Yarrowia lipolytica: one gene and its partners. The protein of the gene in region 2 purifies or fractionates together with the protein of the main gene of each other region. This does not show direct contact. Links are inferred from orthologs where the notes say so. Each region holds a gene or a part of one and is shown on either strand. Other genes may lie near its edges. The genes, in order: YALI1_B15109g, YALI1_E22576g and YALI1_F06991g.

Region 1 (3,926 bases), on a different chromosome or scaffold from region 2:
TATTGGCGGTACTCTCGCAGCTACGAGCTATGAGCTCATCAAAAGACACTACATTTTGGAGATTGAGGCTGCTGGTTCTAACCAGGAGACCATCATTGCCATTCCTCAGTTTGTCTTCCCCACCAACTTTTTGTCGGTGACAGTTTCAACTGGATCGTGGAAGACTGCACGAAACCAGCTGTTTTGGAGCCACAACCAAGCAGGCCGTCAGAAGATTGAAATCACTGTACTAGACCACCAGCCCGAGTTTGGAGGATTTCTTGATACTTTCTATTCCAATCTGGCTGAGCCTTGTTGTGTGGTTATGTAAGTAGATGTGGTATCTATCGGTTAGCTAATATTTATTGTGTATTAAAAGAGCGGAGCAGTAGCTACAGTACCACGGGTCTGTATAAGTACGAGTACATGTGTTGGATGTACTGTATAATGGAATGAAACAGTTACAGTATGATGTACTCGCATATGTAAGCTACGATAATATACTATATGCATTTACAGTATAAACTGTTGTCTGGATGTTTGGAAGTTCTACACGTGTGGTCAAAAACACCATTAAATATATTAAACGTTCATTTTCATCATGTTTCCTTGTCTAAAACTCCATCGAACCCACGTTGGCAGCCTTGACTCGCTCAATTTCCTCCTTCAAGAGCGGTTCCACAAAGTTATCAAACACCTCGACGAAGGGCTTGAGTCGAGTCTTATCAGAAGCGTGCTTGGAAACAGTACCTTGAGCATCTCCCTCGTAATTGTTGAAGTCGTCAATAATCTCCTGCAGTTTAGGACAATCCTCTGGGGTGAACAACAACTCATGAGTGTGGCTGTCGACGTCCATGGGCACACAGACGTTGGAGGTCTTTGGGTGGATGCAAAAGGGCGATTTCAGAAGATGGCCTGTTCCTCGAGACACGGCTCCATCGAGCTTTGGCATGAAAACAGTTAGAATCACGTTTTGTTTGGCCTCGACGAGCCTCTTGGTATCCAGGTTCGCAGATACTCCCGAGGAAGCCACCTTGTCGATATCGCTCCACTTGTCTGCCGAGCTAGCAGAGTCTCCGTTCTTCTTCCATTTCTCAGCCAGGGCTCTTCTCAGCTTTTCGTCCGGAATGAACGCCAGCAGGAATTTGGAGCCCTCCTCATTGGCCCAAGGGTCCTGGGTCTGCAGGACAACCTCGTTGAATACGGTGGTGGCGATATCAAGACACCGCTGAAGATGGGGATGCAGGGGACGTCGAAGACTCGAGTTGCCGGCAGCACTCTTGTCTGTAGCGTCTCCAAATGCAGCAATGTAGGAAACAACTGTAGAACGCTGTCTGTCGTTAAGATCACGAGCCTTCTTGTCGCTGACCCACGCATGGGCTCCTCGTCGGCCCGAAAATACCCACATAATGTGTTTGTATCCGAAATCCTCCTTGAGAGCAGAGTTGACCATCTTAACGGCTACCTGCACGTATCTCCAGCACTTGTTGCAGACGGATGCTCCAGAACAACACGTTCGGAATTTGTCGTAATCGTCCATATCAATATCGAAGACGAGCTCCTTAGAGACAGGCTTAAACACGTCCTTTCGCAACTTCTTTCGGTCCTTGGGCGAATGTGAGTAGACCGCTCCGATCTCGAATCGCTCAGGAACAAGATCGTCGACTCGAGACTTGAATTCACGCTCCTCCGCGAATGAGTTGAATCGCAGATACGCACCGTTTCTCAGAGTGAAGGCAAACTCTCGATAAGCAAAGTCTCGTCCATTTCGGGGAGAGTGGTTGAGCCATCGATGAAGCGTCTTGAAGGGAAAGAAACGCGAGTAAAAGAGTCCGAGGCCCTCAAAATCAACCTCGGGGGCGCTAACCGAAGTCTCGGGTTGTCGCGTCTCTGGAATCTCAGGAAGAGGCTCCTCAATTTGTTCCATGACATCGTTCATGATAGCATCATACAGCCCCTGCTGTGGAAGTCGTGGAGAAGATGAAGGTGGCACAGTGATGTCAGTTGGGGGCTCCGCGGTCGATACGGGCGAAGAGGGCTCGGATACTGTCATTTGAGCTGTAGTATATGTTGCGTGGGGTAGGTGTGCCGATTTGAGATGTCAACTGTAGAGGACAAAAAAAATGAAGGTGCAGTACGATGCTAAACGCGTCTCTCCAAGTTGGGAATCAATTTAACTCCACGCGTTGCGAAAGACGTGATTAGAGTTGGGGGGTATTATAAATGACAAATAAGACATGGGGAGATATCCATCATACTGTACATTGAGGATCAAAAAGATATTGCTGATATATACATATACTACTTACTAAAACGGTTATATTTATTATAAAGCTACCGTTGTCTGTAAAAGATGGACTTTTCCAAGGATATTTCCTTCTATTAGGCATAGGGGACTGCGACGAGTGGATGCTGGCTGAGAGTGATCGCATGAAAACAATACTGTGAATGTTCCACTGAGACTAAATGAGAGGGATGCAGGTTTGGTTAATTGCCAGTCCTATTTGTACGGTAAGATGCTTGACTGTTCTCTTCCCTACTGTGTCTATATCTGTGAGGTTCATCCAATCCTATATTCTCAGAGAGCCTTGCAGATGTTCACTCTGCATGAGTCTGTATGGTTTGTCAGTGTCAAGTGTTGCACTATTCTCCCTCTGATAGTGTAAGCATGAATAAAAACAATAGATGGTTACAGATAGTTGTATAATTCTATGAGTGAGCTTGCCAAAGATGCTACTTTCTTTAATAGCATCGTGTGGTTCTGTACAGTGGTCTATGTAACTCCTTGCCCTGTTCACATTGCAACTTCGACACTGGAGCTCGTTATACAACCTACAAGCTCCTCGAGCTCGTGTTGAAGGTATCACATCGATCTCTGCCACACAAATGTCTCTTACAGCGACTGTTCGGACATGACGGAGGGAATAATGAGGTAGCTATCCATGACGCATGACGCCAGCTACAGTACCCACTGTACATACGGTATCATCGGCATAACGTGAGTGATGGCATCGACAGAGATATGACGAGTGATCACTGAAATTTTCAATCCCCATCTTCGCGTCCCTTTACTCCCCGTGTAGCTTCTCGTTTTTGTTTCTCGTTTATATATCCCCTTTGACGTCAGTTGCGCGAAATATTGTTTGAATCGAGATTTGCAACAAAAGTGCCCTGTGGCTTTGAACATAGCCATACCGTACATGATTAAGACAGAAAATGAAACCAAAATACCTGTAAGCATTGAAAACCTGCCCTTTTATTTCCTTTTCCACTATTTGACCAACTGTTCAACCCCAAATAATGTTCAACTAACTCCATTCTTTAGTTATCCAATTTGTTATGAATGTAATTGGGAACAATGGAGACATTTTGTTCTCCGAAAAGTAGAACACCTCAATTAATTACAGCAGCTAGCTAAACTTGTCATTGGATGTCATTATAGACAGACAAGAAATCATTGATATGAACTAATAGGTGGACTAGTTTCACCTCAAATGTGTTATTGCAATCGCTTCAGCATAACCCCTACAATCAGCCTGGTACCACTCAAATCAGCTTACTAATCAGCACACCCAACGACAACAAAGACACACGACTCCAAGCAAGTGTCTCCATCTCAAACAACTATCGTCAATCAATCTTTTGCCCTTATCATTAATCATTGATCAGACCCGGTCATTCCATCCCATTGGACTAAGTACTGGTACCAATAGCACTTCATAACCGCCACCTGCACGTGACGCCACCTAACCTTGCCACCTTGTGTATCTGCATCACTACTGACTCTCTGAGACCCATCCAACACCACACTACACAATCACAAGATGGATATCGTTCTGGGACTGCGAATCAAGGGCGGAGTGCTGGTTGCCACTTCCAAGGCTGCCACCCGAGGTATTTCCGTCATCAAGGTCGGTGACGACAAGACCAGAGAACTCAACCCCAAC
Region 2 (4,008 bases):
CTAGTTGTACTCGTTCTCTCGATTTTCTTTCTTTTCCTAGGACCCCCTAACAGCGACTGTTCTTCTCGACAAGAAACCAACTCCTCGTGATACTCGATCAAGTTGATCTCGTTCTCGTCTAGAGACTGCCGAAGAGCGTTCACCTCGCTCTGGGTTAACTTCTTGGTGAGCAAGGCGCGCCTCAGCTGCTCATTGCTACCTTCAACCCGGTCCTGCGTATTAGACACCTCCTCCTCTAGTCGTTCAACGCGGTCCTTGAGGCGCTCTTCGTGGTCTCGTTTGCACATGTTGAGTGTCATGAGATGTCATCTGGAGGAGAATATCAGCAAGATGGCCGGATTATGTACTGTATCGATCTTCATATAATATATCACATCACGAGACTGGATAATATGAAGTGCGATTCAGAGGAAGCCAACATGTAGGGAAAGCTCCGTTGCTACAAGTGCTTCACTCTTAGTATTAACTTGTATTTTAGGTGCTATTTCGACTGTTCCAACCGTTATATAATGTCTTGCTCCTGTTCACAGATACTGGCAATGGCATACAATGGACCAGATCGCCGCTTCAGTCTTCCTTAAGACCGATTAGATCTTCTTAATGTCAACTCGTACTCTTTCCCATGCTTTGGCGTCTCCTCCCTGGTAAGGGGCCGATGTCAACAAAGCATACGATCCTCCACTGTCCATTCGCGTGAGATAGCCCGGGTTGATAATCACAATCGAATTCACCACCCGAACAAACGCTTGCACCTGCGAGGGCATGATGATAATGTCTGGAGACACGTCCACAAAGTCACACAGGCCCAAGTACGCCTTGTCCAGATGGTGGTACGTCAGCGTCTGATTCTCCTCAGCCACGCCGGGTTGTTTGGCCTGAGGACCAGGCAATAGAGGGTACAGGGACCGCTGTTCCACCACATATCGTCCTGCGCGAGACATGAAATCTTCCTGCGAGCCCTTGTTGAGTTCACTCTGGGCGACAGCTCGCACAATGTCGAGGTTGGCAGTACCAAACATGAGCTCGTTGATGGAAAACTGGGCCGGGTTGGTTCGGCAGATGACGTTCTTGCCCAAATTGAGCGCCTTTCGAGCCAGAGCCGGTTGGGGAAATGCAAGGTGGGCCGACACTGAGTCTCTAGTGGAAGGGATGAGAATGATCTGTGCGGGGCATGCGTTGAGAAGAGGCGCGATTTTGTGTCTGAACAGGTCTTCCACGGTGGCCACCATTTTGCCAGGCACCGAAAAGCTTCCTTGGGCGACTAGCGGGTGCACTGAGTCAATGAATGGACCCAGGAGAATGAAAGTATCTGCTGGTTGTGCGAGAAGATCCTTGAGAGGCAGGAAGTCGAGATCCTTGGTTGTGGTGTAAGGGCCTGCGGCGATGATTTGGGTCAGAGAAGGGGTTTCTGCCACATTATCCACCTGTCTGAAAGGAGGAGGGTCCAGCTTGAGAATCTCTTCCACCACAAATTCTCGTCCACTGGAGTTGACACCCTTGAGCGCAAGTAGCTGGCCCGGAATAAGAGACACGGAGGGAAGCAAGGAGAGATTGAGCTTCACTCGTAGCGCTCCTCCACGGCTTCGGGGAGTCTCCAGCAACACAGAGGCATCTGTAAGTCTCACAGTTTCAGGAGTGTCAAGGACAATTCGACCGGCACAAACAATAGAGTTCTGGTCACTGAGAGAAGGGTTCTTAAATTCGGCGTTCGATTTAACCAGTCCCTTTTGAACACACCAATCCATGTATTGTTCAATCTGTTCGTCCAAGGTCTCAGACGCCTCAGACACCTTCTGGTACATGGTTTTGTACTTGTATTTGGCGGATTGTACGTGATCTGATATGGCGATCTTGGTTTCTGGGTCGGCTCGGCCTGGGTTTAGCTCGATAGAGCTGTTGAGGGTCTCCATAACCGTGCCTGCTCCCTTTCGAGAAGAGTAGGCGGAGTTAGATGGAGGAGGGGGAGTTGATCTGATGGGAGTCACAGACAGAGGTGGAGACATGGACAGTCCATTTCCTGTACCATTGGGCTGGGGACGTTTCTTGACGGGGGTCTGGTCGTTGTCACCTCCAGCAGGTCCTCGTTTAGCACTTCCAAGAGCACTATGGGTCAGTTGGTCGAACAGATCCATATCTCCTGCTCCTTCTCGGTTTCGTCGCATTTTCGGACGCGGGGTTGTCGTCTTAGCCTTCTTGGCCTTCTCAATCTCCTTCAGCAGATACGTTTTGAGCTTGGACAGGTTGCCCAGGTCCAAGTCTGTCTTTTCGTCGCCGTTGGTGTTGATGGCAAAACACTCCCATTTGATGAACAGATCTTCCTCGGAGAGATTGAAGATGGACATGATGTTGGCGCACTCCTTTTTGAGCTCCTCATTGTCGTCGTAGACGGCCCCAAACTTTTCCGACAGCGTCATGTTGTGTATCGTAGACTGATCAAAGTGGTTTGGCGCTGGTGATTAATTAACTCGCGACGCGTTTTTTGAGTTTACGGCAGGGAGAAATATTACAGTTCTGCAACTTAGTATGAGTAGGTTGCACTCGTATTGTACGAGTTTTCAGCGACCAGAAATGGACAGATAAGGGGCCGATTTGGCTGATTTTGTCAAAATCCATCAGTTTCCAATATGTCACCTTCAGTTTCAAATTATGAACCCTTCTGATGAAATCTGACAGAACTATGGTCGTCCTGTTCTACCTTCTCGCACGCAACCAGTATATATAGTAAGAATACATGTTGTATGGCACGGGCGCAATCACTCGTCGTGTACAAAAACCGACATCATCACATCATAGTTAATCATTGCTCTATTCAGAATCGTCTATAATACACTAATCTCGTCCTCCTCGGCCTCGGCCGCCTCGGCCTCGACCTCGTCCACCACGACCACGTCGAGGGTTACCTCGCTGTCGCTTGTTGTCTCCGTTGTCGTCGTCGTCGTTGCCTCGCTTTCGGGACTCATTGTCCTTGAAGCCGTTGAACTTTCGGGGACCCCGCTTGCCGTTGGCACCGTCGGTGAAGCCCAGCTCGGCCTTCTTCATCTCGCAGTAGGCGGGCTTGGACATGGTCTTGAGCTCTCGGCCCTGGAAGGTGGGCTTGGGATCAAGGGCCAGGAACTTGGTGGCGTCCTCGAGCTTCTCGAACTCGGCGAACACGGAGCCCTTGAACCGGTTCTGCTGCTCGGTTCGTCGTCGGAGTCGCACTTGCACAATCTTGCCGTAGCCCTCGAAGAACTTCTCAATCTCAATCTGCAGAGCAAGCTCCTCCTCTCGGGTCAGGGGGGCGCCAAGCTCGGAGGCAGGGGTATCCTTGGTGGGGACCTTGTCCTCGGGCAGGAAGCCCTTGGCGTAGACGGTTCGGGCGTTGGCCTCGTCCTTGGACTTGTCATCGGGAGCCTGCAGAGCCTTGACTCGCTTGACCTTGGTGCCATCCTCAGACACCTCCAGAAGAGAGGGCGACTTTCGCAGAGCAGAGACAATCACGGCCAGAGGATCCTCAGCCTCGGGGTTGGCAAACTGCTGCATTCGCTTGAAGGAAGCAATGGTGTGAATGGGCACCCAGCCGTCGTTGCTGTGGACGGCCTTCCACAGGAACTTGTCGGTGGGCAGGTTCTGGTCGGAGAAGTAGAACTCCACCTGCTTGAGAATGGGAGCTTCGGCGTCGGTGACGGGCTCCTTGGGCTTGGCGGGGGCAGCAGGCTCCTCAGTCTTGGGCTCCTCCTTGGTCTCAGCCTTGGACTCGGCAGCAGGCTTCTCCTCGGTGGCAGGAGCAGCCTCCTTGGACTCCTCCTTGAAATCCTCCTTGGACTCCCCCTTGGACTCCTCCTTGGACTCCTCCTTGGACTCCTCCTTGGACTCCTCCTTGGACTCCTTCTCCTCACCAGCAACAGGAGCCTCGATGGCCTCCTCAATGGGGCCCTTGACAGCATTGACAATGCCCTCGGCGGCCTTCTCAGCCAGACCGGCGGCGGCCTGGACAACGGCGTCAGCAGCGTCGTTCTCGGCGTTGTC
Region 3 (3,911 bases), on a different chromosome or scaffold from region 2:
CAAGTAAAGTCAAGTAATTGGGGATTTGAGATTGAGGATTTTGAGAAAGTCGCTCTATAATAGTTCACGGACATGTACTGTGGCTCGTTTATTAGCATCAATTTTGCTCGATAATTTCAATGCTGCTTAGTCCGTGCAGACGCCAACATTGAGAGAGCTGGAGACGTCGGATGCTGTGGACCGAGACGGCCATTAGTCATACAAAAGAACTACCTGCCGAGGCGACATCGACTAGAAAGAGGTGAACCAGGGGCTATTAATGGTCGAAAAAGTCGAATTCCAAGTGTCTGTGTTGATACCGACTCTCCCCAGCATTCTGTATGGGTTCTAACCCAGGCAACACCAAGAGCTACAGTAGATAAGGAATCGGCGGCATCTTCATCAGGATAGCTCCAAATTTTGAAAGGAGAAGTCATGTGTAAAATTAGTCAATTAAATATATATGAGTCAGAACAGTCGAGCACAATGGCCCTCAGTGTTCCGTAGACCCAGTAAGTACAGTCGTATCAACGGTAGGTCACCGGAGTGTCTAGACCGGTATTGGGCAAACACACTGACTGGTACTGCGACCAACCAGTTTCACCCTACTTTGTGTAGGCCACCTCCAATCCATTCTGCCATCCATAACCCTTCAGAAAGTAGTCATTAGGATGCTGGACCACCTCCTCCACCTTGAGACCCGGATGAGTTAGCTCCAGAACCCGGGTACATGCTCCATGATAGTTGGTGTTCTTCACCTGGTCGGTGATCTTGTTCAGTTCCATGCGGTCCTCAATTCCCATATTCTTGAGCCGTCCAACCAACTCTTCAGGACGCAAAGACCGATAAGGACAGCCGTGAACCAGCTCGGAGTTGGCTGGGGGATTGTTGGCAATGATACTCTTGCAGTCCTTTGGCGCATAATTCTTGCCCGAACCCTTGAGACCGTAGTTATGCAGAATGTTGTATTGGTACTCCTTGTTGAACTTGTCGTCCGTCACCTTGAATGCCTCTCTCCAAAACTGAAGAGCCTCATCGACAGAGAAGCCCAGACCTTTGATAAACAGTCCATACTGGAACCGACCATCGTGCTTGAGATGGTTCTTCTGTCGAAGAGTTGTGTGCAACTGAGACATGCACAGAGGCATGTGCTTGACGACAGAGTCAATGTTGGAGGGTCCAATTTTGCCATCCAGAGCCTCATTCTTCTGGAACGTCTCGGTCACGCCAAACTGCGCAAGATGGTCCAAAATCGGCATCAGGCGAGTCGACTCATCCAGCCGAGAAAGCAACATGGCCGCAGTCTCCATGGCAACAGCCAAACGGCTCTCAAACTCGTTTACAACCAGATTCTGCTGCAACGAAGCAGGAACATAGACTTTGCCAGCCCGCAAAAACACCCGACGAGAATCAACCAGATCGGCCACCTTCTGCCAGTCAACCTTGACGTAGTCACGCGACGCAATGTCGGCCTTGTCACGTGACACCGTCTCCAGATACGGCCGCAGATCTTCGAATTCGTCCACGTCGACCTTTTCCCACTCAAAGTCCAGCGAGTTGACAAACGAGTCTCTCTCGCCGCCCTCCTCCAAACTCAGTCTGTACCGAAACAGCAGCTTTTCGCGCTCCACAAACTCCTTGCGCAGCTCTGGAGTGCGGCAGTATACCAGCCGCAGAATGAAATGCGAGTAGTGGTCCTTTTGCCGCTGCTTTTGTGTCACTTCGTCAGAGACGTTTCGGCTTGAGCCCAGGGGTAGGTACTTCTCCAGCGTCGGCTTCAGGCCCGAATCGAGGTCTTTCAGCCCTGTCTTTCCGCTCAGTTGCAGCTGTTGCAGCTTCGTCAGCACCCGGAGCCGGTCAATGGCCCATTCTTCGAACGCCTCCAGCGAAATGCCCAGGTTGGGCGGAGTGTTGTAGAAGGACATTCGGCTGGGGTAAATGATTTCTGCAGGCATCGACGACGGAGCCACGCCCCAATTCTTCCGTTCGGTCGCTCGTCGTTTGCTTCGGAACATTATGCGACGACTTGTGTGCTGTGTGTTGAGGAGGAGGAAATGTGAGAGACGTGACGTGATGGAACCAAATGTACTTTAAGGGAAGACGCGTTTTTTAAGCTTTCATCACGGGTGGTAGAGATACGGGTTTGAAATGCGGGAAAGCATCTCAAATAAGGTTTGCACAACATAATAGTGTTCCTCCAAAGTTTCCCTACAAAATGGTATATCCAGGATATCTCTACGACGCTTACTCAGCAATATAACAGCAACCTCCAACTCAACCAAGGAGAGAGTCGCGTCAAAACTTTTTTTCTTTCTTTTAATAATTGCGCGTCAAGCCAAATCAAGTGGCTGGATAGAGTATCATCAAATTAGTCACGTCACGTGACGAGAGCCACTCACGTGATTGTCGGGTTTGTGGATTTTAAAAATATTTTTTAGTTGAGAAATGCTAATTTAGTTGGAATTAGTTGGTGGATCAAGTAACTTTTGAGGGAGAGTGAAAAAAAAAGACTGAAAAAAAAAGAAGAAAAAAAAAACAAACGAAAAATGGTTCCTAAAAGACGAGAATTTGAAAGTGGGATTGAAAAAGCTCAATTAATTCCTTCAAAACTTTCTAACGAGTGGAAAATGTCTTCTGACCAATGTTTAGGTGGTTGTCTGTCAAACTAATATGATATGTTACTTGTACATACTGTGCTGTACATATATGATAGGACTGTGGAAGACTATGGGAGATTAATAGGAGAAAGCTGTATATTAATCGAAAGAGAGAAGTAGGAGGACTCCAATGGCATAGTCCAAGCGTTCCCAGGATTAGTGGTTATTGGACTGGAAACAATTATGTCGGTTAGGAGGTCCTGCAGCAACATGTCAGTAGAAGACATACAAAGAAAGCTGTAGAAATGTGTTGCATGGCAATGTCTGGTTTGTACGTACTGAAATGACAGCTAATTTGCTACCGTTTCTCACTTTGAGGGCTTTTACTGTGAGACAAGTGGGGCACTCTACATGTTAGAAACAGAGTCAACTTTTCTGGTTCTAGTAGTTGTTTTTGCATTGAGATATGCACTAAATGGTATCATTTTGAAGCTCCCTGATCAGATTGTAATGATTTCAAGTCCAGGGTTAAATATGTCAACTTTTTGCCGAGTCCTACAGACTTTCCCTCGGAACATGCACCCGTCAGTCCTTACAGAATGCATCGTCGGCTCGATGCATACTCTCAGACTAATGCTGGGGCGACGGGGTGCAGAGATATTGGTTTGACAATGTATTTGTGTAACGAGAAGCGGATGTCTCAATTGATGATGAGCAGCGACAATGAAAGCAGACAATGACAATGAACAATGAACGCTAGGGGTTGTATCAGACAGGACGGCCAGGGTGGGCAATGGTGGGGCGCAAGAACGTGAATGTTACCAGGTGGAGTTGGAGGGATTTACAGAGTCTAGAAAATGCTCAATTGGGTCTGGGAAACAACCTGAACCGCCGTACAGCGAACAATAGTTGCTCAAAACGAAGTATATAAGTGGGGGGAAATAGTTGAAGAATTAGTTAAGAAAGTGTCGTAGGGGGAAACGCGGGTCGCGGTAGAAGGGATGTTGTAGACACGATATTTCTACTTTTTTTCTTTCAATGTAGAAAGTGGCTGGGGATGAACAAATTTGTCAACTGCGTATACCTATTCCGTCATTATAGACATATTTATGTTGGAAGGGATGTGGCATTTTGTTTACAATTTAGTTGGAAAAAAGGTGGCATTTGTTGACAATGTAGTTGACTTTCTGGATGAGATCAACATATGGGCTCTTCTGGAAAAAATCAATGGAGATGACATTGTATGGGATAATTTGGCCACACCAAAAGACATGTAAAATTGCATATATGGCAAACCAAACAGTCTGATTCTTCTCGTCTTTCCGTTCGGAACAT

Evidence for each region.
Region 1: the proteins of YALI1_E22576g (region 2) and YALI1_B15109g purify together in Saccharomyces cerevisiae (affinity purification with mass spectrometry, with the first as the bait; 3 studies listed by BioGRID). This does not show direct contact. The link is inferred for Yarrowia lipolytica from reciprocal best matches to the Saccharomyces cerevisiae genes POL12 and PRI1.
Region 3: the proteins of YALI1_E22576g (region 2) and YALI1_F06991g purify together in Saccharomyces cerevisiae (affinity purification with mass spectrometry; 3 studies listed by BioGRID). This does not show direct contact. The link is inferred for Yarrowia lipolytica from reciprocal best matches to the Saccharomyces cerevisiae genes POL12 and PRI2.

Annotation. Positions count from the first base shown.
Region 1 is NC_090771.1:1,509,080-1,513,005, reverse strand, and holds YALI1_B15109g (uncharacterized protein), read right to left. Parts: upstream 2,033-3,926; coding exon 593-2,032; downstream 1-592. Other genes in the region: YALI1_B15151g (uncharacterized protein), read left to right, coding at 1-310; YALI1_B15092g (uncharacterized protein), read left to right, coding at 3,804-3,926. UniProt on the Saccharomyces cerevisiae protein: DNA primase is the polymerase that synthesizes small RNA primers for the Okazaki fragments made during discontinuous DNA replication. In a complex with DNA polymerase alpha (DNA polymerase alpha:primase) constitutes a replicative polymerase.
Region 2 is NC_090774.1:2,255,206-2,259,213, forward strand, and holds YALI1_E22576g (uncharacterized protein), read right to left. Parts: upstream 2,415-4,008; coding exon 588-2,414; downstream 1-587. Other genes in the region: YALI1_E22555g (uncharacterized protein), read right to left, coding at 1-287; YALI1_E22592g (uncharacterized protein), read right to left, coding at 2,830-4,008. UniProt on the Saccharomyces cerevisiae protein: Non-catalytic component of DNA polymerase alpha, which in a complex with DNA primase (DNA polymerase alpha:primase) constitutes a replicative polymerase.
Region 3 is NC_090775.1:697,213-701,123, reverse strand, and holds YALI1_F06991g (uncharacterized protein), read right to left. Parts: upstream 1,995-3,911; coding exon 585-1,994; downstream 1-584. UniProt on the Saccharomyces cerevisiae protein: DNA primase is the polymerase that synthesizes small RNA primers for the Okazaki fragments made during discontinuous DNA replication. In a complex with DNA polymerase alpha (DNA polymerase alpha:primase) constitutes a replicative polymerase.